4 linked regions of the Mytilus edulis genome follow. The protein of the gene in region 1 purifies or fractionates together with the protein of each later gene. This does not show direct contact. Links are inferred from orthologs where the notes say so. Each region holds a gene or a part of one and is shown in the gene's direction. Other genes may lie near its edges.

Region 1 (7,311 bases):
GAGACAGATCTACGGCTGCAACGTCAACTGCTAACCAAATTGATGAATGAAATTTTGCACAGATTATTGCCATAAATGTTTCCCATTAACTGAACTGGCAAAGAATCGACTGCAGAAAAACATTTAGAGCCTTAAAGGTTAAACCGCATAATTGACAAAACCCATTGTAATGGGTGGAACAACGGCAAAATCAGAAGGTGCAAAACAGAAACCAAAACGTGCCGAACAGAAATGGCTGACCTTTCTGACAATCATTTTGGCGTTTGTTACAGGCAGTCATTGCTTTTGACGGTGACACGTTCATTGGTATAGGGAAAATCAGGGTTTCAGTGTATAACACAATATTTGAACATCGAAAATGACGTAATCAATTCAACTTTCGAACTGCATTTTTTTTTTCAAACATTTAAGTAATGACAGAACTTTCTATTCATAAGTTTGTTTACAAAAAAATGCATAATTAAAAATGAAAATTGAAAAGAATAATCTAGTGTTGCGTTTCTAAAGCCGGTCAGTATACTAGAAAAATTATTTGATAAAAAAATGACGCCAATATATATATATAGCTTTTCATGTTCTAGAAGAGAAAAAGCTTATTTGACAGACACTGACGTCCACAGCTTTTTATCTTCTAGAAAATCTTATATGACGGACATAGCTGATATCAATTATAATAGCTTGTCCTATTCTACAAAAAAAATTAATGAAAAACCCTTCTATAAAAAAAAAAATTTAACGGACACTGACGTCAGTCACTATAGCTTTTGATTCGTCTTCTAGATAACTTATTTGACGGACACAGTTGACATCAATAGCTTTTAATCTTCAACAAAAAAAAAATGAAAAACACTTTCTACAAAAAATAAATATTTGACGAACACTGATGTCACTATAGCTTTTTTTATTTTACAAAAAGTTAACCTTATTCGACGAAGGCTGATGAGTTTTAGCATCTATACATACCTTTTTTACGGACACTTATGTAACTAGCTTTTTGTCTTCTATACATAACAGTATTTGACATACACTGACAACGTCAACCAGTTTTTATTCTTGTACAACTATGGCTTTTCATCTTCTAAAATAACTTATATGATAATCACTCAGTGGCGGATTCAGGGGAGGGTTCCGGAGGTTGGAACCCCCTTCTTTGGACGATCAATGCATTTGAATGGGGACATATAGTTGGACCCCCTTTTTAAAATGGCTTGATCAGCCCTTGCACTGACGTCAACAGAGGCGGATTTGGGGGGGGGGGGGGGGGGTGATCATATAGGGAATCACTGAAGCGTGACCGGAGCGGGTCCCGTCTTAGGCAGTCAGTGGGCCCCCACCTAGATCCGCCACTGGTCAATAGCTTTTCATCTTCTAGAAAAAACGTATTTGACAACCACGGACGTCATTATCATTTTATCTTCAAGAATAAATACTGATTTTACAGACACTGACGTCCACAGCTCTTCGTCTTCTAGAACATTGTATATGGCATACACTGACGTCGATAGCTTTATAATTTTTTTTACAAAAATTACAAAAACTTATTTGACATACACTGACGTCAATAGCTTTTCGTCTTCTAAAAAATCTTATATGACAGAAACTGACGTCAATAGCTGTTCATCTTCTAGGGGAAAAATAACTTATATTACACTGACGCGTGAGTAGCTTTTCATCTTCTAGAGAAAAAAATTATTGAACAAAAAATAACATGTTATATTCAGGTATATAGAAAACAAATCTGGGACAATTGCCTTTGTTGGTATACAGTAAACATTTCATGCCAGTTAAAAAATATCCAATGTGAATATTGGAAGAGGACTGGTGCTACAACGGGTCTGTCTACACTAGCGTAAAATAGAGTCGAAGATACCAGAGGGACATTCAAACTCATAAGTCGAAAATAAACTGACAACGCAATGCATGGCTAAAAAAGAAAAAAAGACAAACTGACAGACAATAGTACACTAAACACAACATAGAAATTAAAGACTGAGCAACACGAACCCCAACAGGTTGTCTCATTGGCACTCACACCACATCTGCCTTTATCTATATAAAGAGATAATCATAGGTGCTCTGGAAGCCGGTAAGCAGATCCTGCTCCACATGTGGCACCCGTCATGTTGATTATGTTAGTACACACGTTGTTATAAGTCTAATTCGGTATGTCACATTCTGGAAAATTGGACGGGGTGTAGCTACGACATTAGGAACATATATCCGCTGTCGGTTTCATAGATCTGTGAGAGGTATATACCATACATATACTGTCAACCATCTCAGTTCTGATGGCATCCGTAAAACTTACGCGGAGTTCCGAGTCCTAAATATATATGACTTAATTGTCAACAAATACTAAATACTCAAACATTTACTTGCCACTCGACTGGGTCTGTGTACACTACATTTTGAAATGACTTTATTATTATGTTGTATACCTCTTTCAGTGTCGATGTGGCATGCAGTATGTTGGCGAGACAGAGCAGCCATTCAACAAACGCATGAATGGTCATCGCAGTGACTACACTTGCAAGCCCGACCTACCCGTAAGTCGTCATTTGAGATGCACCAGCGTCTGTGGTTTCCGCTTAAATTGTATAAACTTTCAAGATTCTGAGTGTCTCAATTTGAATATATCATGACATGATTCATTTGACATCGTGCTATTACCGAAGAAGGATATCTGTTATCCGAAATATTTAATATTTGTTCATTTTATAGTTATTTAATGGTGATGTTGTACCCTTTTTGACTTGTTATATATCATATTTTGTAGTGTACAGAATCGTATTACATGTTCCATCGCCCTGTAAGATTAATCGTTGACTATTTATTCAGTCATTTTATATATATATATATATATATATATATATATATATACTATACTATAGATAATTTAGCTGATCTGTAAAAATAACATCTCCATGTCTTATATATCATGTACTGTAGCACGACGCTAGATTAAAACTGACGTGGAAAGGTAACACCCGGCCACCGAAAGCTTCATTTTTATGAAGCCCAGGCCTTGAAGTCATAAAACTTTGGTCAGTGCTCGGAGCACAAAAATCATGCTCGAAACCTGAAATCCAGCATTTTCAAAACTCTTTAAAACTCTATTTTGTTTTGAAACATAAATTAACCTAAAAGATTTTAGATTAAGGCAATTAATCTGTAAGATAAGAATTAGCGCTCATGGTAGTCATACAAATATTTACTTGGATTGTAATTTGAGACTGATCAGAGATTATATATGTAAAAAAATTGTGCCGTGAATCAGGAACATATATATTAGATATACTGTTCCCAGCGTGAATAGATTTGAATAGAACACTTTAATAAAAAATGTTTATAATGCATTACACCCTTTTTTGGCTGAATGCTCACTATACGTTGATAATAAAAATAAGTCTTTTGCTGAAATTCAGTTAAAATGCAATAATTTTCAATCTTTAGACAATCTCTTTTTAACTTTTCATATATTTACTATTAGTTAGTATAATTCAAGTAGTTTAATTTATACATTAGCGGCGCAGTATTTATCCAAAAATCTGGCAATAAGGAGAAGTTCAAAGATAATAATTGCAAATTAGCCACAAGTATAGAAATGTTTTAAAACTTGATATTTGAAAGTTATCAAAGGTACCAACATTATAATTTAATCGTGATGCCAGACGCGCGTTTCGTCTTCATAAGACCAGGGACTTTCTATACTAAGAAATAGTATAGAAAATCCCTGATAAGACTCATCAGTGACGCTCACATCAAAATAGTTATAAGGTCAAACAACTTGAATACCATATATGAGGGCCCTCATGGGGTTTTTGATTATGTGATTACTTGGCCGTTTTTTTAATGATTATTTGATTATTAAGCCAAATATTTCATGATTATTTGATTACCTAGGACTGTATTTTTAGTTTATGATTATTTGATTACTAAAGATAAGCAAATATTTAATGATTATGTGATTATATTGGCAAAAAAATGGTGATTATGTGATTCCTAGGACCCCCCCATGAGGGGCCTCATATATATACGAAGTTGAAGAGCATTGCATGAGGACCAAAAATTCCAAAAAATTGTGCCAAATACGACTAGAAGGTCTAGAATGTAATCTTTTCCTGGGGTAAGACAATATATGTCTGTTGCTGTTAATAACTAATTTTAAAAATCTACGGATTCTAGTCTGAGGTTCTAGTATTCAATTCAAATGCAATTTAAAAAAACGCGCTTTTTAACTTTTAAAGTATATAGTAGCCAATCAAAAATGTCGTTACAAATTTCCTTGATATAATTTCCATAACCAATCAAACATCTCCACGTTTATGAACTTCATCTGTTGACCGGCGTGAGGGATTTGGAACGCTTTTAACTTGGAACACCAGAATTACTGGTAAAATGTCTTATTATGATTCAAATTTGAAATACTTTGATACTTAATTCCCACGATCACTTCTGTTTGAAACACCAGCTCACTTGGAAAATGCCCAAAACCTTCATTATTTGTAAAGAAACGATTAAACCGAAAAAAGGGGGAGGACGAATAATCATGACATGCCTGATTTTTCAGATCATATGATCCAGTAACATTAGTCCCTAGTCAGTATTAAAACTTTAACACATTTACTAAAGCTCAGTCTTGCTTATTTTTATTTGGCCTGAATGATTTTTTTACAGCCCAATAGAAACTGCAAAAACTATGTCCCATAATTGCATAAAAAAAATCTCTATTTTAGTGACTGAGCGAATTGCAAGTATAAGGTTGCTGCAAGGGTTACCTTGAAGACTACAGAAGTCTTGACCAAGGATAAGATATTAGCTTCATATCTTACATACAGCATATATTGTCTATTGAAAGAGTAATGATAAAACTGAAAAAGGGGGTGGCTAACTGGCTAATTAATAGACCGAATTCGGTCTAGCTAATTAATGAAAAATAAAAGATATCAAACTGTTTATTGGTTGGTATCTAAATGCTGTATTCACCTATATGAGAGTATGAAGACCGTTAACCGTCAGTCTTTATTCTTGGAAACCAGCCATACCAAATGGCTTCTTTAGTCTTTAGTCTTTAGTAAGTGTCCCAAATGACACTGTAAACACTTGTGTACGTTTCCTCTTTTGTAGTTTCTTCACATATGTAATGTTCACTCATGTACTACAGGGCTCACACTACTTCAGAATTATAGGGAGAAGTGACTTCTCTTTTTGAAACTGATAGGGAGAAGTGGTGAGATTAGAAAGAGAAGTGCTCATTCGCGCTGTGCGATACAATGTTTGGATTTTACAATAGTATAAAGGGCCATATATGTAAATAATGTTCTTTTTATACTGTTCAATTCATATCTGAGTAAAAAAATTACAATTAAAGTAACATTTGAAATTAAAAGTAGTTTAAGCTTGTGAGAAACTACCAACTAAATATCTAGCACTAAAAAAATAAAAAATATTTAAAAAAATGTAAAGAAATTATAATATATCAATTACAATTTAATTAAAAATTATCTTGTGTATGACATTCAGTGTTTCTCATAAAAAAAATATAAAAGTTATTAAGCTGGGCCATAATATATTGATATTAGTATAATAGTCTCAGAGTTAAGTAACTTTAATCAATAGTTTGAAACAATCCATAAAAAATATAAGGAATTATATACACCAATCAATTAGATGTAACCAAAAGTCTCTTAATGCGTGTGGAATGCGTAATTTTTCCCTTTGGGATCAATATTCTTCTGTCAGCTGTTCCATCCGTGTGTCCGTAGTAATTATTGTAAAAGTACGGATTTCGGTCATAGCTGGTCCGGTTCAGATCCGTAGATTAGAAATCGGTCAATGGCGGCCGAATGCAAGAAAATTTACAAAAATAAACGATGTTTGACAAGTTATTTGGAAAGAAACATGACGTTTTTAATGCAATAAATGGATTAAAATTTACTGGAGGCAACTTTTATCACGTTTAAATGAAGTAACAAACTTATTTTGCCGCAGAAATTGAGGTTGATGTACGTTTTCGAGTAACAAGCACCGGTACTCGCAGAAATGCACGAAGTGATAAAAAGTTGTATTTTTATCAAATAACCTGCTACCCACTGCGAAGACAATGCTTCAAACTCTTTTCAAAAGATAATGAATCGTTTATGTCTGAAATTTTTTAATTATCAATAAAAATTTGATGTTTCATCAACTTGGTAAAAATTGAAAATGTCCGATGACGGAAGCGACTGAAAGCGACTGTCGTCAAGAACAGGGCGACTTGTTTTCGCTTTTGGGGGTCGAGGAAAGCGAAGTGACGGTCGGGAAGGCGACTTCTTCGCCCAAGTCGCCTGGTAGCGTGAGCCCTGCTAGATTGAAATGGTGGCTGCTGCTTAAAAAATTTTGACTTAATTTTGATATAGATTTATAGTGTTTTTTGCTGTATAGTGTTTTTGAATCTACCAGACTCCGTTAAATAATTTTCCAGATGGCACAATATCTCATTTCGATTGTCTCTATTAATGTCTTCTTCATCGATTCCTAATACGGTGTCTAAATCCATGTGTATATTTCCTGTAATAAAGTAAATAGATGTTCTCATCCTCTCTCTAGCCTCCTCATAGTTAGAACAATGTAAAAGGTAGTGTTCTACAGTTTCGGCTACTATTCTTGCCTTGGAAACCAGCCTTTCTGATCAAAATCATTGTTGCTTTTGTTTATATTAGGTAACAAGACTGTTAGGCAAGGAAACCAATCACCTCCATGTTTAATGCAATAATGGACAGTTTGGGACCAAGAGAAACCAGGCCAAAATAAAAAGATTGTATGTTTGCCCAAACGCGACCAACCCAAAATAAACCCGCCGACTCAAATTCTTTTTTGACGTTTTTTTGGAGAATTTTTTTTTTTCAGAATTTTTTTGGGTCCGCTCCGTCATCGTACAAAACTTAATGTTTGTCGTCTTTGCGTTTAAAAGTAGCTGTGAATAAGATTAAAAGAAAGCGTATAAGAGACACAGTTAATCGATATTCAATGTTCTCTGTTTTTATCTTCTGATTTAACAATGTTTAACGAACGTAAAACAGTAAAACATGTGAAGTGGCACAGTTTTTTTACGCTGTAGGTGTCTGTACTACCAAACCCTTTCCTATATACTCAATGTTAATTTCATCATGTTTATCGTAGAGTGGTTGTTTCGGACACAAATTAAGGCTTAGTAAATAAGAACGTCTGCTTGCAATGATACTTGTATTGAACTCTGAAAAGCTAACGTCACAACAACGGTGACGTCGTGTACATGGAGAGCGGTAGAGGGAACACCTCATGTGCAATTCT
Region 2 (7,245 bases), on another chromosome or scaffold:
TGTTTAGTTGTTATTGTTGATGGAAAGACAAATACACAACAATTTACAAATGGATTTCTTAAATGAATAATAATCACATGAATCAGACCATATTTGATTTAGGGATAGCGTTTTCTTAGACTGTTTAATTATATCATATTTTCAAAATAAGACTTAATTGGGGAATTTTATACAACGCATTATCGGCGTAATTTGGAATTTCAACTCAATCTATCTTAATAATTGTGAATTTTTGTGGTGAATACCATATGATAATAGCTTCAGTGGTTCGCCTAATTGGTAAAAATCGAATGAAATAGATAAATTTATTTTCGTTAATTGTCTCATTTCTCCTACATTAATGTTGCATTTTCTGTGGAATTCCAGAACAACATAAATGAAATGCTCCCTGTTAATTCGCAATCAGAGTCCAACAAGGTAGACTAACGAAGTAAACTATTGTTTTTAATGAAAAATGATGTAATTTACGCCCTCCCTAAAAAACATTGGCCGAGTTTTAGATGGCCAGGGGATGTCGTTATGCAAAGCTTGAAACAAAAGTCATAAAATGATGGAAATGAAGGGATTATTCAAAAGCAAAACAGATCATTCGTAAATGAAAGATCCGTAATTACGGGAACCTTTGTCATCTGATTAATTACCATCGCTTCCCCGGGGATGACAATCATAGCTTTTCTTAATGTATAGTGATGTGAAATTAAGCCTTCGATTGATGGGGCCAAATCAAATCGTAATTATAGATAGTCTTGCATACAAAAATTATCTATATCAAATTCAATTTTAAAATGTTGCATTGGTATTGCGATTTAAGCCATAATTGACGGTTCCTGATCTCTACTTGCACAACGAACCATTTTTCAACCTTAATTGATCATTAATAGGTAATTCTGTATTGTACTGTGTGTCTTCCTAAATATACAAAATTTGATAAAGATGTGGCGTAATACAATTGCAATAGTTCTGTTTCAATCTTTAATCCTCGTGTGGGCAACTAAGATCTGATTTTTAATCAATCACTGTATACAGTCTGGATATAATATATAATGTAAGAAAGTTGATTGTGCTGAAATAAAAAAGAATACACATTCGATAAATATTAGAATAGCACTCTTTAAATAAGGTACCCAGATGCTTACATGTGATATAAAAAATCAACAAAAAAGGAAGTTTTAACATGAGTTTGTCTACAAAGCATTACGTATATACAACAGTTTGTCTTAGAAAGCAACTGATGCAAGGGGCTAAAGGAGAGGATGTATGTTGTAATGATAAGATGCGACTGGTTTATCTAGGAATTCTAAAAAAAAAAAAACTTTTATCAGACATACTTCAATCTCTTTTTCGGTTATGGCGGTTTCCGTGCTCTCTTACTCGCGTGTTTTTCTATTTTTCTCACCATGGAAGTATTATATTGATCATTGTATTGAAATGTCGCACGATACTAGTGTCATCTAACGTACACGAAGTAGTATTGGTGTCTTTCTCCGTCTTGGGTTGTAAATAACAGAGATACTAAGGTCAAGATTTCCAATCAAGTTAGCAAAATTTGATGCAGGAACGCACATAACTAATGTGAATTTTCCTTTAAAAGAACAAATTGTTAAGATGTTAACTTATAACTATTAGTATATTTATCGAGCCTGCGCCTTTTGTCGCAGAAAGCTCGGCATAGGGACAGTGCTCCGGCGGCGGCGTTGTTAGATCACTTTTAAAAGTTCTTAAACGCTTGATATTTTAGAAAGTGGAAAACTTGGATGCTTCATACTTTGTATATGGATGCCTTAAGTTACGAACTTTCTGTCTGTCACATGTCCATTTGCCTTGACCTCATTTTCATGGTTCAGTGACTACTTGAAAAAAAGTTTTTTTAATGTTGATTTCTCTCTTATTATGAGTAGTAGGAAAACTATATTTGGTATGTGTTTATATACCTTGCAAGGTCCTCATGCCCGCCACACAGTTTTCAACCTCGATCTCATTTCATGGATCAGTGAACAAGATTAAGTTTTGGTGGTCAAGTCCATATCTCAGATGATATATAAAGCATATTTATAGTATATTTGGTGTATGGAAGGATTGTAAAGGGTGTACATTTCCAACTGGAATGTGCCATCTGACCTTGGCCTCATTTTCATGGTTCAGTGGTTATAGTTAAGTTTTTGTATTTTGATCTAGCTTTTTTTACTACTATAATATATGCAATTATAGGTCTACTGTATTTGGTGTATGGAATAATTGTAAGGTGTACATTTGATTTTCCAACTGGCAGGTATCAACCTTGACATCATTTTCATGGTTCATTGGTAAAAGTTAAGTTTTTGAGTTTTGATCTTTTTTACTAATACTATAAGCAATAGGTCAACTATATTTGGTGTATGGACATATTCTATGATGAACATGTCAGTCTCGCAGTTTTATTTGATCTTTTTTATTTCATTTTCACGGTTCATTGCATAGTGTTAAGATTATGTGTCTGTTTTTCTTAAACTATAAGCAATAGTTCAACTATATTTTTTGCTTGATTTTTAATGTTTTAAAATTTGCATTTTAAAGGGAGGTGACTCTGAAACAGTGCATTTCACGGTTGAAGGAATCTTGTTGAAATTTTGCTATTTCATATTTTAGCAAGAAAAAACGTACGGTGACCCTATTTTTTCTTTTGATAATCTCAAAGCATGTTATAAAAAATATCTTCTCGTATTTTATTTTACAATCAGTCTATCATTTAATTTATCTTCTAATCACATTAATGCTTTTTCACTGTATAATCCATACAAAACTTGTCATTTTGTCCCAACCTGTAGCTTCAGAAAATGCTCGGTGACCTATCATTTTATTATATTTTTAAACATATCACCATGCATACTATGTTGTGGCAAGGTATGAACAAATTCTATCATTTTTGGGATAGGATTGCTGTCAGGTAATCTGTAGACTTTTGCCATTGACTCCTTTCCAAGGCTCTTGCGTCAACCGTGTTGTGCTTTACTTTAGGAACAACTCAGATTTTTAGAATTGTCCTGTTATAAAAGCAAAAACAAACAAATTAGAGATTGGGTTTCAACAACGGGCCCTATACGATAAAAATCAATCATAACATATATATTTTGTTCCCCTGTACTTGTCTATATAACCTGGGAACAGTTGACATGTATGTTCCTGCTATAACTTTATATTCCTTTCAGTGTTTAAGACTGTGGCAATGTGAACTAGCTAAGTTACTAACGACACATTCAAGTTGAATTTATTTACGTAACTCATTAAAATTATAGGTTGAAGATTGTTGAAGAGTAGAGGTAAAAAGCGCAAATGTCTGGTCAATCTGGGAACAGTATATTTATCCCGGGGGTTGCTTCCTATATTTTTAGTGGTATGGGTGTGCAGCAAAACAGGGTCCCTTTTCCATGGCCTGCTGGTTAGAACAGGGTCCCTTTTTTGTGTCCTGCTGGTAAGACTGTGACAGGGTCGCATTTTCATGCCGGCCTGCAGCGCTGTTGAGAACAGGGTCTTTTTAAACAAAGTATTTGTCTAGTACAGGATCGCTTATTTAACTGTTTGAGATACAGTCTAGAACCATCTATTTCACACGGTCTAGAACAGGGTAGGCTATACTGAGCGTGTTTAGAACAAGGTATGTTTTTCAATGTTTTCTGGTTAGAACAGGGTAGGATTTTGCATGTGCTGTCGGCACAGCAGTGGCGGATTCAGCCATTTAAAAAAAGGGGGGGTTCCCAACAAAGAGTAAAGGGGGGTTCCAACTATATGCTCCCATTCAAATGCATTGATCGGCCAAAAAAAGGGGGGTTACAACCCCCGGAATCCCCCCCCCCCCCCTGGATCCGCCACTGCACAGTTATACCATCGAAAGGCCAGTCAGTAACACCCCCTCCCCCGTATATTTATCTACAAATCCTTGAAAAAATAATGTGATGTGAAAAAAACAGAATTACCAATCCTACATGTCCTAGATAAGAACTGGTAACACATATATGTTTCTTTATAACAACTAGGCTGAAAATTTTGCCAAGTATAGCGCTGGAAAGACTATATAATATATCTGATAATATCTTCATTAGTCTTTTTCTCGGCCGTTATTGAAATTCTTGACAATATTTGTATTTTCCGAAGGCATATACTGAATGTTATACGGAGGGGACCAACATCTTCATATGCTGAGTTTTCATTTGAAATTTGCCGCTGCAAAACTTCTAAAAAAGGGAGAATACACATTTCGTTTAAACCGGAAGATGTGTTTTACACAGCTCAGTCAGTTATTGTTTTGATTCAGACAATTTTACTGATCTAGACTTTAAAAGAATATGTAAAACGATAACGTAGAGAAAGACATATATAAAAATTCAGTAATATATGTCCATAATATTTCATGAACTTATCCATTTATCTGGGATGTGTATTCATAGAACTGTTGACAGCAGTTAATATCAGGATGAGCCAAGCAGCTGATCAAATCCCCGGAATTGGTCATATTCGCAGTCCATTGCTACGTTCAGTTTACAATAAAATGAGAGAGGATGAAAAACAAAAGAATAATCCCCATGATGACGTATGTTTTATTAGCAATAGCTAGCATGGCTAGATCCATATGTAAAAAAAAAATGTTATGGGGAGATGTACAAATTCTCAGATCTGCAGTGACATCACAACATGTAACTGACCAATCAATGATTAGCATTTTTGTTATGTAAACAATGTTGAGAGGTGATGCGGATGAGAATCCTCTAGATTTTCCATAGACTTCAATGCAAATTAATTTAATTGATATATATTGACACCAGTTGAATCTAGTAATTTTACCCACTTAATATTGTTAAAGACACTATATAATATCTCCATTTTGATTTTTATCATACTATATCCTCTGGTTAAAAAATAATCAGCAATATAAATAATCAGATATCACCTTCAAATAGATGAAAAATCTAGAGGAATCCTATCTGCATCACCCCTTGAAAAATTTAAATGCCAGGATGTCCGGATCTGAGAATAATAAAATGCCAGAATTAAAACTGTTTTTAAAATACAATGTTCATTATTCTAGAGGATTGATTAGCTTCAAAAGACTTTTTCAAAATGAAGTATATGTATGTTGAATGATAAACTTTAAAAAATAGTTTATACAATGTACAGTACCTGGCCAAAAGTATTGCATTTTTGTTTATATATATATATTTCATATAAAAACAATTTTTCAAAAAAATATTTTGAGGGCATTTATGGTTGGATTTTTATGAACAAGGCTTTAAAAGAAGTAGAATTGTTTGTTTGTTTATTTGGTGATAGTTTTGTCTTCGGGTGTTATTGTTTTCTCTTGATGTGAACACATACAATAAATTTTTATAATTTAATTTGGTTGAATATACAGCGAATTTCTGAACAGAAAATAATATTTGTATTTATCTTGTGAAAAAATGAAAATGATCCACAAAAAATATAACCAAATAAACAAATAAGCATGTGACAATTCTGCTTCTATTGGTTAAAATCAAACCAAAAATGACCTCAAAATATTTTTTGAAAAAATGTACTTTTATATACAATATACAATGTATAGCGAAAAATCTAAAGTGATGAATACTTATAGCCACACTCTGTACTTGTTTTATGATTTTCAAAAATTGACAAATGACCATACAGGTACAATGTTCTTTACATGAACATTTGTTTGATACTAATTTTCATGGGTTTCATGGTTACAGGTGAACTGCGAAATCAAATGTTCAATGAATAACAAATTTCTAATAGGCTTTGTATGCAGAGATTTGCAAAACCACCAAATCAAATATCCACGAAAATGTAAGTTTTCCTTAATCCACGAAAAATTGATACCTCAAAAAAATAAATGAAACCACTGTAAGCCAAGAACTGAATCATTCAGAATCTACATTTGTAGATGTGACATCAACTCAGAATCAAAAAAAGTAACTCCAGTATAAAATAAACATGATTTATTGAAGTTGATTTTTTTTCTTTCAAAGTGGTATACAGTTGACCTGTCCAAAGTTCCAGAAGAGATTTGTGCAAAGTTTTTACAGTTTAACCAGGATGAAGAAACAAGCCAGTTCCTAAACCAATGTTATGAAAAATCTGATTGGTTATTTACTCAGCTAGGTCATTCCATCTGTAAATCTGTACTTGGTTGGTTTATGTCAAGCACCTCGATTAATGGGTAATGCTCTCTAATAAAGCACTGTGTATACAAAGTCTTGAAATAGCATGCAAAGGTATTTAGGAGGTTTAGATAAACATAAACCATTATTAATTGGTCGAACAGGGAGAAACAAATATTTTACAAACGCTTTAGCTATTAGAAAGTATCGAAGCACACATAAAGATTTCCCCTGACCTGCCAAAATGAGCCAAAATAAGTACCATGTGAAAATACTCCACTATACAGTTATAGAAAATGTGGTATGAGTGCCAATAAGACAACTCTCCATCCTAGTCACAATTTGTAAAAGTAAACCGTTATAGCTCACAGAGCCTCACTACGAAGAGCAAGCTATAAAGGCCACAAAAGTGACTACCGGTAGTGTAAAACTATTTAAAAAGGAAAACCAACAAACAACAATACTACAGAAAAGGCATTTTAATTTATAGATTACATGTATATAGAGTATCCACCCTATTAAAACACTTGTTTTTTTTTTTTTTAAAGTAAAAGCTTTTCATTTTAAAGAGCTTTTATACTAAGGTGTTTTTTAATTAAGAGTATACATTTTTTTTTTCGTTAGATTATTAAAAAGAGGATCAATGTTTGTATTTTCCAAAGATCAGCTTAGACAGATGTTACATGTAGCACCAGACAGGAAAGGAAATAGGTTACTAGATCTTGGTAAGAGAAAAGTAAAAGGACTACTGTAAATCAACTTATTTTTGCAGATACTTTATTTCACGTTTTACGCTTTCTAATCCAATTTGCGGCTATTTATATTTGTGATTTTCTAATTTCCTTGATGTAGTTTAATGAGGAAAGAAACAAGTTTAACATATTTATGATGATTTATATAAGCGCTACTCGTGAAAGTCACAAAAAAATAAATCGCTCCCAAAAATAAGTTGGTTTACAGTATTCCCATTTAACTAAAAATGAAGCAGTGAAAAATAAAAGTATTATGCTTGTTTAGATAAAGGGAAATGTGGTATATATACAATAGTGAGAGGAACCCAACAACACAAAACTCAGACATCTTGAGGTCAACATTAAGTCTTCAACAATAGACAAGT
Region 3 (7,154 bases), on another chromosome or scaffold:
ACGAACCTCTTCATTATTCTATCAGCTATAGTTTGAACTTATGACAGCTCGTTCAACATCTTTTTTGAAATTCTAACTATTTTCATATACATCAATTGATACTGGGAGTTTATTTAAGATCATTTAAAATACTTACATATCAATTACTTCTTGTTATTTTCATTCGGTAATTTAGTATGCGACTTTGTTTTATATTTCTGGCTTTCCAAATTTTGATCTCGAACGTACCTATAAGTAATGAAGATTAATTAAAAAGAAGCTACTATAAATATGTTATCATCTGGATGAAAACTCAAAATCTTGCCGGCGGTCATAGCATTCATCGGACTTAAAATCAAAGATAGCATATATATATATATATATAGTGTCTAAAAATAGCAACAATCAACATTCAATCTATCTAGGTGTGGATCAGTTTGTAAATATATATATGTATATATATATATGGCAGTGGCTATTTGACCGGCACCGGCAAAATAGCAAATTTGCTATTTAGCCGGCTCTGATTAAATTCTATTTCACTGGAATTAAAATTTAAGAATAATAATTAAATATCAAATTTTATTTTAAAAACTTTTGTTACTGTTGCTCATATAAACACTTAAACTTCTTATCTTAAAAAAATAAGAAACTACGTTGCTTACACATACACAAAATTGACAAAAATGATGAAAGAATAGAATAGAAGTAATAAGATATATTAAAAAGTGAAATACAAATATGATAATAGTCACTTTGTAGCTATATATACTACATTCCAGAACTAGTATACTCTTTTTATTTACGGAACCAGCATTGTGATTGTGTTGCCGATGCAATGACAGAATGGTCTTTCAGTACCATGAGAAGACTTGAGAAATACAATTATAATCAAGCAATAATCTGGCTAGTCTTTTGAACATAAACTGTAAAAAAAAAATCATCTGACACATTTTATTTCAGTATAAGAAAGAAAAGGAAATGGTCCTTGATTTTATAATTATATTTGAGAATTAAAAGTTGAAAAAAGACTAAAACATAGAGAAATTATTTTTTTCCTCAAATTTATTTATCAAATATTTAGTTTCAAAAGTGGATTTTTAACTGCTGAAAATATGATTATTGTGAGGTCATGTTAAGTCCCAGGAAATTGCCAGAATGCAGGACTTTCCCCTATTAACACCTTAGTAGCTTCTGGGGACCTTGAGTGGCCCCAAGACCCCTCGCCATGCATATGACTTACCCCCGGCTTTGAGTACACATCATTTTGGCCACATGATGTAGATTCAAAGGAAGCCAGTGTAATGTGTAGTTCCTGTTTGGAGTGGCAAAATTTTTTCTTGAGCTAGACTTAAACAACTTCCAAAGGCAAAGAATTGGTTTTATAACAATTGCCAATATTAATTCATGTGTCCAATTAAAATTCATAGCAAACAAGTTAACTATTAATATTGTCTGTCATGTCTGTTTTATGATGTAGTTTTGCATAACAATTGTGTTATCACTGGCAGGATATTTAAACCGTAGATTTTACACAGATTTGAAAATCAACTTTTTTATAAATATTTTAGAAAAAAATATTTTTAATAATGTATTTACAATTGTGTTTTCATGCTTTAAATTAATCATTATAAAGTTATAAATTATTTGTTTAAGAACATCTTCAATATGTTATTTTTGATTGTACTGTATTTTTAATGCTTGATATTGTGATAAAATTATTTTAAATTATTATAAATCTTTTTTTTTCTACTAATCACATCAATGAACAGTATTATTCAGTGCCGGCTAAATAGCAAATTTGCTATTTTGCCGGTGCCGGTCAAATAGCAAATTTGCTATTTTGCCGATGCCGGTCAAATAGCAACTGCCAGATATGCCTATATATATATAGAGACAGAAAGAGATACAGTTCAGCCAGTCACATACACAGGCACTTGTCTCAGAAAGAAAAAAAACTTAATATACTTTGATATGACAATAAGTTTCTGAAGTTTTAGTTTGTTTTTTGCATTTTTTTTTTCGCTGTGTCTTGTCCCCCCCCTTTGCATATTGTGAAGATGTGTCTTGACTGTCGAACATACAACTCTCTACCAGCGACCAAATGACGATAATGTAAACAACTATATAGATAGTCACCTTACAGCCTTCAGTAATATACATTTCCCAAATTGTATAGTAAACTATGCAAGGGCGTAGCTTACGTTGAGGCAACCGAGGCAACTGCCTCAGTAAAAAAAAAAGAAAAAAAATATTTTCCTTCACTGTATTTTCTTTTAAATGGTTATTGCAGCAAACTGGCTACTAAACAATAATGTAGCAACTTGATATGTCTTGTTGGCACGGTTATTGATTCATACCCTTTACGAATTATTCAAGACTTATGGGAACATTTGAATTAATTTTCCCTCCTCTACTTGGAAATACCCTTTACGGTAGTTTTCTGTAATTCAAGTTTGTCAGAGTAAAAGGAAATCGACAACAGATTTATTTTGTCCTACCCCATTGCAAGCGAAAACAGTGAGTAGAATAGATGAGGATGCAACTCACGAGTCTCCCGATCAAATCACTTTACCATTGAATTAGGTCAATTAGTTAATTTTGTGTCAGAATAATTTCTAGTACATTGTATATGAGGGCCTGGGTGAGGTTTTAAGAAAACAGAAATATCGGCTCTGAAATTAATTTAAATTTGAAAGAATATGGATTTAAAACGGAGCTAAATTATAAAATAAAGGAAAATCAAATTATGGGCGACAATGATTAAAAAATGAATACTTGATAATCACATTCTAAGCATTCAAACCCTCATTTATAAGTGTTGACATGTTCCCCTACGACTATGTTCATTGACTTTGGTACTAAACAAAACAAAATATGCATTTACATTTATACATTATAGGGCACAGAAAATAATTTATAAGATGGGGTTCACAAGTTTTATTCTCGCTATTTTAAATTCATAGTACGTTTTCACAAGCAGGGAATTTAAAATATTTAAAGGAATCACTAATTCCAGAGAAATATGTCTGTTAGTTAATACATAATGTCAGTTTATATAAAAAAAAAATCAACCAAATACTGTTCATTTATAATGAAGACTTCAGAATAAAGTAAATGTTAGTTATTTGCCGGTTGTCATGTTCATCGTGAATGGGAAAAAAAGTTTAAAATCATTCAATATGTAATTTCAAGACCTTCGAAGGAATACACCACTAAAACAAGTGCCTTGCTGCACTTTACATGTAGCATATGTTTTTGTCCTTGTTTATCCTGAAATTTGTTTGTTCAATCCAGCATTAATTTTGTGGTGATTATCTATAATTCGTTGATTCGTATAGGGCCCTCATTACTGGTCAATGATGATCAATGATGAAGTATTGTCCTCGACCACTTTATATATAGATATATATTTCAGGGAAGATAACATAGAAACGATCTTTACTTAATTTTTTTTTTGAAGAGAAACAGACTTTGTGAATTATTGGTCGACTTATTTCGAGTTGATTTTAGGCGATTTAATTTCAACAATTTTATTTTAAAAAAGAAACACAAATTTCATCCGAAAAGAGACAATATACCACCCGATTGACCTTTTTCTGGAGAATTTCAATGTAGAAACCTATTCAATGCAGAAAACCTATTTTATTAAATGCTGGAGACCCCATTTCACCGAATGCGACATAAACAATATTCTTCTCAGTTTCATAACGGGTGTCAACAGTGGAGCAGGGCTGATCATGATTATTCTACAGTTAAGTAATATTACGTTTATATGACTTTTAGTGAAATTTTCATTTAACTTTCAATACAAATCCAATCACGATTAAGTAATCAGGCGAGATATATGAGCGTGTGCTTCTTTTTTTTTTTTTAATTACTAATATTTTTATCTTGATTTCGTAACCGACTAATCGAACGCAAATCAATCGTGGACCGTCTCAAGATAGATTTTAAGAAGGGTCGTCTTATATTTTTTTTGCATTGAAGTGACATGTAGTATTTAAAGAAAAGGTCTATATCTAAATAAATTTGATAAAAAGTCATTAAAGATCCTGAAAATTTTGAAAATGTGGCACAAAATAGTGGATATTCCTAATCCAGATTACTTTTTCCGAGTTCGATTTCTAAAATAGTATTCTCGTTTCCGGTAATATTCTTAGCACCTATTTTGTGAACCCTATTTTGTTTTTACATTTATTTCTTAACTGGCATTCTGGCACACTGATTGATTACGCTGACAGTATATCGACAAAGTATGTAGATCGGGTCAGGATGCCGGTCTTATTTATTTCTTTTCATACGCAATAAGAATTATTTAATGTTAAAGTTAAATGTATTCAATTTCAGAAAATTTGGTTGATTATATCAGGTTGGGAACAAACCCCCCCTGTATGGTGATTATACCTGTACAGAGGGATAATCCTTCTTTAGAGGGATAAAATTATCCCTCTATAGAGGGGTATTTTTGTTTGCATTGGATTTAAAGCAAATTAGGGCAGAATGGCATTTTCTAGATATATTGGCTATAATCTCTAGCATTATATGCATCAACATATGCATGTTAATTGGACATGCTTTGATACTATATATGCCCTTGAATTTTTACTAGATAACATTTTTGTTCGCTTTGGAGATTCCGTATATCGTCAGATTATCGGAATTCCAATGGGGACTAACTGTGCACCACTTATTGCGGACCTGTTTTTGTATTGTTATGAGTTACAATTTATGACATAAATAAGCAAAGACCCATCGAAACAACATCTGATAAACAAATTTAATAATACTTTTAGATATTTGGATGATATTTTGGCTCTCAATAATGACGACTTCAGTATGTATATTAATGAAATTTATCCTGTTGAACTTACTTTAAATAAAGCTAATACTAACAATGACCACTGCCCTTTTCTTGATCTTGATATCTATATCACTAATGGAAAGCTGAATACTAAAATTTATGATAAAAGGGATGATTTTTCATTTCCTATCGTTAATTATCCGTTTTTAGATGGTGACGTTCCCTTGTCACCATCTTACGGTGTTTATATATCTCAACTTGTACGATTCGCTCGTGTATGTAACAATGTTTTCGATTTTAACGAGAGAAATTTATGTATTACTGAAAAATTATTACACCAGGGTTTTCGATATCACAAACTAGTCAAAACATTTACTAAATTTTATCATCGGTATAAAGACATCATTCGTAAATATAGCTCAACATGCAGACTTCTAATACGTTCAGGTATTTCACATCCAATTTTTTATGGTAATATTCTTTATAAAGCACAAAGGTGTCAGTATTCACCTCAGAAACTTACAAAACCTTTGAATAGACTTATTAACATGATTAAGAAGGGATATAATTACGATACTGTTGTCAAGTCATTAAAGATTGCATATTTTGGCGTTAATATTGAGTCACTGATAAGGTCTTTGCATCGGAACTAAACCCATTTATTATTAAATACAGTTGTTGGCATGACACGGGTTATGTTCTTCTCATATATGTTATGATGGTATGATACTAAACCCCTAACGGGAAGGATTGTGCCTGATGTTCATATGATGAAATCATAATCTTTCAGTCAGTTTAATTGAAGTCTGGAGCTGGCATGTCAGTTAACTGCTAGTAGTCTGTTGTTATTTATGTATTATTGTCATTTTGTTTATTTTCTTTGGTTACATCTTCTGACATCAGACTCGGATTTCTCTTGAACTGAATTTTAATGTGCGTATTGTTATGCGTTTACTTTACTACATTGGTTAGAGGTATAGGGGGAGGGTTGAGATCTCACAAACATGTTTAACCCCGCCGCATTTTTGCGCCTGTCCCAAGTCAGGAGCCTCTGGCCTTTGTTAGTCTTGTATTATTTTAATTTTAGTTTCTTGTGTACAATTTGGAAATTAGTATGGCGTTCATTATCACTGGACTAGTATATATTTGTTTAGGGGCCAGCTGAAGGACGCCTCCGGGTGCGGGAATTTCTCGCTACATTGAAGACCTGTTGGTGACCCTCTGCTGTTGTTGTTTTTTATTTGGTCGGGTTGTTGTCTCTTTGACACATTCCCCATTTCCATTCTCAATTTTATACTTTACTCACAACTGGGATAACCAGTTTTCTGCTAAAGTTACAAAACTTGAAATCTATTGTATACCTATCTGAACACCTGATCAACAACAAAAGGAATAGTTGACCTTTAAATTTCATGTTAAATCAAACAATAGAAATTCTGTTCAGTGAGGCATAAGTGAGTAGAATTTACCTGATCATCACAGCTTTCAATCATGGTGAACAATAGATTTTATATTTAGTCAGATAAGCATCAAACTGGGCATGTGCATATTAAATTAAGTACATCAATTGGTGCATCAACTGTTCCAGGTTACTGCCATAATAAGTAGAGAATGCCATTCTGCCCTAATTTGATTTAAATCCAGTCTAAACAAAAAAAAACTTCTATAGAGGGATAATTTTACCCTCTATAGAAGGATTATCCCTCTATACAGGTATAATCACCATAAAGAGGGTTTGTTCCCAACCTGTATATAGGAAATCTCTGTAACATGACTGGAGCGGGCCCACCTTAGGTCAGTCAGTAGGCCCCCCTTATGAAAAGTTCTTGATCCGCCACTGGCACCAGTCATAGTACAGCCTACAGGGTCCATTGAAGCACAGACCAAGGAAAGACCTAGGACTTGTATGGACATTAATAATTTTTTTGATTGTATTTTGGCCATATTTGTTTTATTTCTTGCTATTGAGCACAGGCACTTGTCTCAGATTTTTTTTCTGGTGAGTTGTGTGTTTCCAATGCATCGTCAGTGGACTAAATAATTAAGATTGACATACTTGGATAGGATTGCTACGGATAATTCCGACAACAAGAGTAGGCGTGTTATACACCATTCACTTGAAGATGAATCAATTTTGATTTACGACATAACAAGTTTTAGTTGTGTTGACAGCTGAGAAATCGGCATATAACGAAATTTCGGCACCAGCTGACATTTTCCTAAATCACAAGTAAAGTACCTTATGTTATATAAAGGTGTATAGGGATTTTTTTTCTGAGACGAGTGCCTGTGCTATTGAGCTGCAATCCTATTTTAATTTTCACAGCTGCATCAGTATTGTATTGATTTAGATCAAGTAAGGAATTCCTCT
Region 4 (7,280 bases), on another chromosome or scaffold:
TACCAACAGTCAATACCAAAAATAGAGTAACACATACAGATTTCATGTCAAATCCCGATGTGTCTCTTTACTGTTTTGAATTATCAAGATTTTTATATTTGATTACATAATCTATGGGCCTCTAAGTCTCTGATTAGTTTGACCCTTTTATTTGATCTGCACGGAAATAGAACAGAGATAAGAGACAATATTGATATGTGTTCCATAGTTGTAACATGTGTAAAGAATCTTAAATCGGTCAATAGTTATACGAAGAAAATTGAAAATGGAAATAGGGAATGTGTCAACTGAGAAACAACAACCTGACCATAACAACCGAAATATATAGGAGGGGATATGCATACATTTTTCTGTTTATACCACCTTGGTTATTCTAGGAATGATTTGTTGGAGGAGTCCTTAAGCAAGTGTTTAGTTCAGTGGCGCAGAGGGCGTAGTCACCATTGAATGGGATTACATTTGAATGTTTAAAAATGTATTGCTATCTCCACTCGGTAGTTATTCATCTTTTATCTGAAATTACGCTCCCATTTTGGAACAGCCCCTGCTAGCGGTGGGATAACCGATGAATCGAAAGTATATACAATACTGAACATTTCTTGCGTTTTAGATGGGTCCTAATGTAAAATTGTGTGTGTGAGGTCCCAAAGTTAAGTCAAAACAATTTAGTATACTGCTTGTCGATCTCCATAACCATGCTGAATAAAACACCAATTATAATTGATACATAATTTCAATAATATTTTGTTAATATGTGCAAAAAGGTAGTTGCTAGTATAACCTCTTTGATCTGTGTTAAGTAAGATATTCATGTCAATGCATATCTAATAAAAGGTTGATCCATTTAAAACATTTTAATTATTATATAATTTTGATGTGATTATTTTGTTCAGGTTTGTGAACTTGAAACGTTTCAAAATTTTTATAAGTATATTGTTACATGTAGGAGATAAATTTTATCAAGACAAATCTATCTACAACCTCTTTGCTTTCAGTGTTCTGTTAACTATCTTTACAGTTATTGGAACAAAGATTGTAATAGGACATGCCAATTGATAGGATAATGTTGCATACTTACCATGCTTACCGTAGTTAAGTTTTTCAGTCTCTTCAGAAAATCACAGAGAGGGGCATGCTTAATGTTTTTGGCTAAATCAAAAATATGCCAAAGCCTTATCCCATTTTCTTGGCGACTTTGATATATATTTTAATGATATTAAAGCTCAAACTAGAGGCTCTAAAAAGCATGTTTCGCTCACTGTGGTCTATGTAATGTTACAGTACTTCTCATAAACGTTATAATTATATTTTTATTTTATTTAAAGAGGGTTACACAGTTAGCTATAACTTCAATCTTCCCTCAAGCCCTCATGATATACAATGAAATATTATTAACAAACAATTATAAAATATCAAACAAACACGCATATGAAAAAATGAAATAAAAAATTGTGATGAAAAAATAATACAATTTTCAAACTGACAGGTAAAAATGACAAATTCACATAGCATGTATAGTATTGGCATCATTCAAATTACCGCAAAAATATCTTAAATAAATTTCTTTTCGTTATAAGGCTTAACGAATACCGTTATGCGTAGTAATTTGTACGGGTGGTTCACCAGTGCATACGGGTGGATTCACCCGTGCATACCTAAGCGGGAATTAAATAATTCGACGGTTTGCATTCAATCAGTCTACACGTTTAATTCAATTGCTGTTGAGGTCTGTTCTAGTAACTTTTAATTTTGTTTTTGTAAAAAAATAAAAAATAGGTACTGTCTTTCACACGTATAAGATTATTCTTATAGAATTGTACAATTCGGCAATAGATGCACATGACTGTATACTGTCCAAAGTTACAGTATTTATTCAATTTTCTTTTTTCGTTCATTTACATGTAGTTGTGAATTGTTTCTAATTTTTGTAATTATATTTTGTAGATTGTTCAGGCTGTTGATCATACTTCTAGTGAAGAGAATGTGATAAGGACTGTTTTTTGCGTAACAGCTGCCATTCTAAATTTTTGTTCACATGTTGTTATTAAAATAAATAAATAAAGTTATCCAATTCTTGAACCAATACATGTATATATCATTAACTAAGTGTTCTGTGCACCATTTTATCATTTTTTTACACAAACATATCTTATAATCGTCATTTTGTTTCAGTCTCTCTATCTGTTATTAGGTCCGAGACCGGACCACACATATAGTCCCTAGTGTTGACAGTGGGTTACTTGCCATTAATTTTTATACCCCTTCCAAATTTATTTCTCCATGTTTAATGCCTCAAATTGCAAGTAGGGGAGTGAAATTACTCTGTAAAAAAATTTGGGTCCAGAATTTTAAAGGAAAGTAGTAATTTGGTCCAGCTGAAAAAGATTTAAACTTAGCACTTCAGAAGCTCTCAAATTTAAAGATTTCAAGACGCCCTAAACATAAAATTGTCAATATTTTGAGTTAGAGCCAATGAAGTTTTCTATAATTTTGATATAATTTGTCCCAAAAGTAGTACAACACACTGTAAAAGTTTCTTTGAGAAAGCGCAGGTGGGATTTTTTTTATTTTCATTTATGTTCTAAAAGAAATGCACTAAGAAATAATTGTGGTCTCGGACCCATACATGTAAGTAAAAAACATGGCCTGTCCAGGACAGATTAGAGTAAATTCTAACACCTTAAAGTTTTTCAATTGAATGACGTTTTACCTGGGAGTTTAGTATTAAATAGGCCGAATGAATTGTAGGACGAAATAAGCATAATCGAACAACTCTTTTTCGTAGAGATCGGTCTCACTAATTAGCGACAACAAGAATTTTAGCGACAACAAGCGTCAACAAGCGACAACAAGAATTATTTTAGCGACAACAAGCGACAAGAAACTATTTAGCGACAAGAAAACATTTTTTTTTTAATTATTAAAAGAATATATGCAAAAGAAAATAATTTTAGCGACAAGAAAGTTAAAATTGATAGAAAAAAATGAACATTATTTACATAATATTTTATCATCTATTATGAATAACAGCCAATATTACGTTTAATTATTGTATTATGAGATTACTTTTCCTTGTGTTTTAGAAAATATTATTTATCTTATAATTTGTTTTTTAAAACTCTTTTCGTGCAATATATATTAAGCTCGCAAAATGAATTATTTGTGCATCATTGTCCTGAAAATATTGACACAAATTGTGAAATACAACATGTACAAAACTGAAATCATACAGGAGGAAAAGAAAATTGAAATGTGAATGTTTTCATCTTTTTATTTGTTTATTGCCTCATTAAACGATATTTATCATGTTTATGCATATTGATTGAAGATGAAAGGAAATTAATGACAATCTTGAGTTTTCAACAGGTGTTCATTATTTACAATGATTGTATATTCTGGCGCGTGTAATTGTATAGTCTGACGCGTGTACAAAGTTGAAGGTGTTAATTGGATGTTATTGTAGCAATAAAACAGGGGACACGCGACTCGTTAACCTCATTTGATGTTCCACATGTTTACTTATCAAAATGGGACCACCATGTACTAAATGTATAAATATTATGTTAGATAGGAATGTACATATTACTATATAATGACTAAAAATAATAAAAAAAAAAATAAATGTATGGACCCCAAGGTAGAACCACGTCCTCGTCGTGGGGTCTGGAAACACGCTTAAATAATAAAGATGGCAAAGCGTGGCTGAGAGTTCTATAAATAAAGCATCGAATTGACATAACAAGAGTCTGAGACTACTATAACATAGTAGTCTCAGCAAGAGTACACTTAGAGCATAGTATTAAGCAAATGAATCAAAATATTATATTCCATTATGCCCGCTCCATATATATCTCCATTCGTTTATTCATACTTTGACTTTATATTATACATATTCTTCATATTTAAAAATAAAAAAAAGAAGCTCAATCTCTTTCTTCTTCACAAATATTAAATTTCTTCATCTACCAATATACTAATATAAACTTCACAATCTCTTTCTTCCGCACAAATGTTTCATTTCTTTGTCTGTCTATATAATAAAACATTTTAATTAGACATATCTGCTCGTATATTTAAAAAAAAACATTAAATACAAATTTCTTTATATCTAATAAAAAAAAAATGTTTTCTTGTCGCTAAATAGTCTTTTTGTCGCTTGTTGTCGCTAAAATAATTCTTGTTGTCGCTTCTTGTCGCTTGTTGACGCTTGTTGTCGCTTCTTGACGCTTGTTGTCGCTAATTAGTGAGACCCGTAGAGATACAAAACGTTACCGGTGGCTGAAGGAAAAAAAATGCTTTCGAGTATTGTTAAATTATCGTTTTTCCTCCTAAGCACTGCGATTTTACATGTTTCTGGTCTTTATGAAGATCAAGTTGGAAAATTTGATTGGTAATGTATTTTGTAAAATTGTTCAAAGCCATAAAAAAGTAATATGTGCAACCGTAGAGCAGTTGAAACATTTTGGGGGGAGGGTGTAATATTTGATTAAATCCATTTTTTGTCAGTATAATCAGTTTGTTGGTGGTGGCCTCTGTCTGCTAGAAGCAGTATAGTATGATTTCTCATTTTCCCTTTCAACTCAGCACTATACAATGCTATATGTACATGTGTAATCGGGGAGCATGATTTTCATTACAAAATCACCTGTCTCTTTAGTCCAAATAATTATGACGTCTGACAAGGCTATTTTAATTTTTTTCTGGGACGCCTTCCTACAACAAAATAAAATAGCCTTGCCAGACGTCATAATTATTTGGACTACTGTCTCTTCAGCTGTTCAGTGACCTCTGACAGGCTCTGTTTCACAAGGCAGCTTGTTAACTAACTTAGCTAAAGAAATAGTTTCTTAGCTCAATTGCTTACAGCTGACTAAGTATCTACTATAAGTATCAAGAAAAATAATCCAGACACACTTCCCACACATCAAGAGTCATTATACTACTTTGTATGTTGATGCTTTCAACTATTTATGTCAACACTTCCCTGGCTAGGTAATTCTTTTAACTGTGTGTATTTATTGTTGGGAGAGCATGATTTTCATTGCAAAATTGCTTGTCTCTGTCCTTTGGGACTCTGTATTACAAGGCAGCACATTATTTATGTTATAAGTCATTAAGCAACTGAAAGAAGTACTTTCCTAGCTCAACTGTTTATGGCTGAATAAGTATCAACTATTAGTACCAAAGGAAGTAATCCTGTCACACAGTTTCAGTCATATACTGAACCCAGGGATCTCCTTGGATGAAAATTGAACGATGGAGGAACTTTCACCATTACAAACCGTGTCTACGTTGTACAGTGTAGCGCGATTGGAAGTATTTTATCCCTCCATACAAGGAATGGTGAACATGCTAATTCATTGCTTATTTAACTTATATTTATTTGAATTTATAGAATAAGAAGTATCAATATTTTCTTTTATTGCCGTTTTTAACCATTCAAATGCCAAGTCTTCATGGTCCCCCTTAGTCGAGAATGACCAAAAGCTGTCATGAAGGTCCCCATGTAGATTTCTTGTATTTTTGATAATTGTTATGGGGGTTAAAAATCATATGATGTGGAGCTTATTTTCATGCCAATCATGGACACTGTTTAATTCAAAACCCATTACCGGTATGGCTGATTTGCAGCAACTACAAAACGTACGGGTTATGTAAAAGGTTAAAGAGATTTGTAAAGCAAACGTTGACAAATGAAAAGGTTTTTAATGACTTCATTTGACAAATTGATGCTGTGCAACATGCATCTTTCGAGTCTGAATAGAAACCGGAAACGCGGATGTATCAATTTGATTGTAATATATACGAAATGAATTCGGAATTACGATACGATATTTCTTTACAGGAAATATTTAAGTTTTTACTTTTAAACTTTTAAAGTAATTCTAAATTATAGTTACAGAAGTACTCGAGTTATTTGCGATGAAATAATATTTACAATTTTGCGTCTTATTTTGTACTTCTTAAAAAAGGGGGATGCTGATTGCGTAAGTCAAAATAAAGCACGTGTTCGACTTGTTAAACTGTTTTCTTTGTAACTGGATTATTTTTTTATTTATTTAATCTAAATTATCATAATCATTTGCTGAAACTTAGTTGATTAATTCGACAAATGGATCGTCTATCCTCAGATAGTATTCTCCTATCTGGTTTGTTGATCTACCTGTACAGTGATCGGGAAGGAAGTGCGCCCTGCGCCTATAGCGCATATTGACCAGAAATGGCGCATAGAGTGACAAATGTAAGCGCCCACGTGGCGCACAATATTTTTCACATCGTTTCGAAACGTTTAGATATCGTCAAATGGATTTCCGATCGTGTTCCTTGCCGCCATTTGTGTGTACACAACTGTATAATGTTGCTCCAATCATAGGAGCACCTATATATATTTTTGGGACGTCTCATTGTTTTCCTATGGTAATAGAACCATGCGGTTTAACGTCTCGGGTGTTTTCCTATGGTAATAATAGAACCATGCGGTTAAACTGATAACCCAAAAAACGTAATTAACCATCATTCATGATATAATTTTTTATAAACAACTTTAAATTTGTGAAATTTGGCTATTACAGACGAGATGTAACTCTAATAATAATCTTTAATTTAGTTTAGCTTGCTATTATTTCGATTGAAAACCCCCGAAGCCTTTTTATGAATATAGTTTTTGTCTCCATAAAAAGCGCTTAACTGTCCTTGTCATGTTTTGGTCTTTGGCCAGTTTTGACATTTTGTAAACATGACCAGCGAATTATTGTTTTGTTCTATCAATTAGTGATACTCTCTACTGTTATTTTTGTCATCGTTATAAAGTAATAATATTAATACATGAAGTGCAGAGGAAGTGCCTGAAATGACCTCTAATACGGAACGTCTGGAATAAGTATGGTATCGACGAAGACCCAAATTTATTGTTAAAAAAAAACAACATGAACATGAACAAGCCAAGGCAACAGTACCAGTTTAGACATTGTAAATAAAGGTTATCTTTAATATTGTCTGCTTTGGAAGAAATTATTGTATATTAATTGAAATTACAGAATCACAGGAACAATATCCATGATATTATTTAACAACGTAAAGGTAAGTACCAACACCTCTTTGCCAAAAAATAATGATACTTTTTATTTTTTTACCGAAGTCAATTCAAATGGCCCACTCATTTGACAATATGGCCCATTATTTTTTAAAATGGCCCATTGAATTTATTTTTGAGGGGCCCTGGGCCCATAGTGAAAAAAACCTTCCAGATCACTGCCTGTACAAGCTCAGGTACAAGTGAT

What was found.
Region 2: the proteins of calnexin-like (region 1) and protein-L-histidine N-pros-methyltransferase-like purify together in Homo sapiens (co-immunoprecipitation; 3 studies listed by BioGRID and IntAct, with this or other methods). This does not show direct contact. The link is inferred for Mytilus edulis from reciprocal best matches to the Homo sapiens genes CANX and METTL9.
Region 3: the proteins of calnexin-like (region 1) and WW domain-containing oxidoreductase-like purify together in Homo sapiens (affinity purification with mass spectrometry; 3 studies listed by BioGRID and IntAct, with this or other methods). This does not show direct contact. The link is inferred for Mytilus edulis from reciprocal best matches to the Homo sapiens genes CANX and WWOX.
Region 4: the proteins of calnexin-like (region 1) and ER membrane protein complex subunit 1-like purify together in Homo sapiens (affinity purification with mass spectrometry; 4 studies listed by BioGRID and IntAct, with this or other methods). This does not show direct contact. The link is inferred for Mytilus edulis from reciprocal best matches to the Homo sapiens genes CANX and EMC1.

The regions. Positions count from the first base shown.
Region 1 is NC_092351.1:90,147,072-90,154,382, reverse strand, and holds the start of calnexin-like, read left to right. Parts: upstream 1-4,302; 5' UTR 4,303-4,393; intron 4,394-7,311. UniProt on the Homo sapiens protein: Calcium-binding protein that interacts with newly synthesized monoglucosylated glycoproteins in the endoplasmic reticulum. It may act in assisting protein assembly and/or in the retention within the ER of unassembled protein subunits.
Region 2 is NC_092348.1:52,998,954-53,006,198, forward strand, and holds the start of protein-L-histidine N-pros-methyltransferase-like, read left to right. Parts: upstream 1-4,221; 5' UTR 4,222-4,384; coding exon 4,385-4,564; intron 4,565-5,996; coding exon 5,997-6,187; intron 6,188-6,752; coding exon 6,753-6,853; intron 6,854-7,245. UniProt on the Homo sapiens protein: Protein-histidine N-methyltransferase that specifically catalyzes 1-methylhistidine (pros-methylhistidine) methylation of target proteins.
Region 3 is NC_092348.1:28,720,379-28,727,532, reverse strand, and holds the start of WW domain-containing oxidoreductase-like, read left to right. Parts: upstream 1-4,128; 5' UTR 4,129-4,235; exon of another isoform or gene 4,236-4,248; intron 4,249-7,154. UniProt on the Homo sapiens protein: Putative oxidoreductase. Acts as a tumor suppressor and plays a role in apoptosis. Required for normal bone development. May function synergistically with p53/TP53 to control genotoxic stress-induced cell death.
Region 4 is NC_092356.1:55,262,960-55,270,239, reverse strand, and holds the start of ER membrane protein complex subunit 1-like, read left to right. Parts: upstream 1-4,257; 5' UTR 4,258-4,292; coding exon 4,293-4,390; intron 4,391-7,280. Other genes in the region: C-type lectin domain family 4 member E-like, read right to left, coding at 4-46. UniProt on the Homo sapiens protein: Part of the endoplasmic reticulum membrane protein complex (EMC) that enables the energy-independent insertion into endoplasmic reticulum membranes of newly synthesized membrane proteins.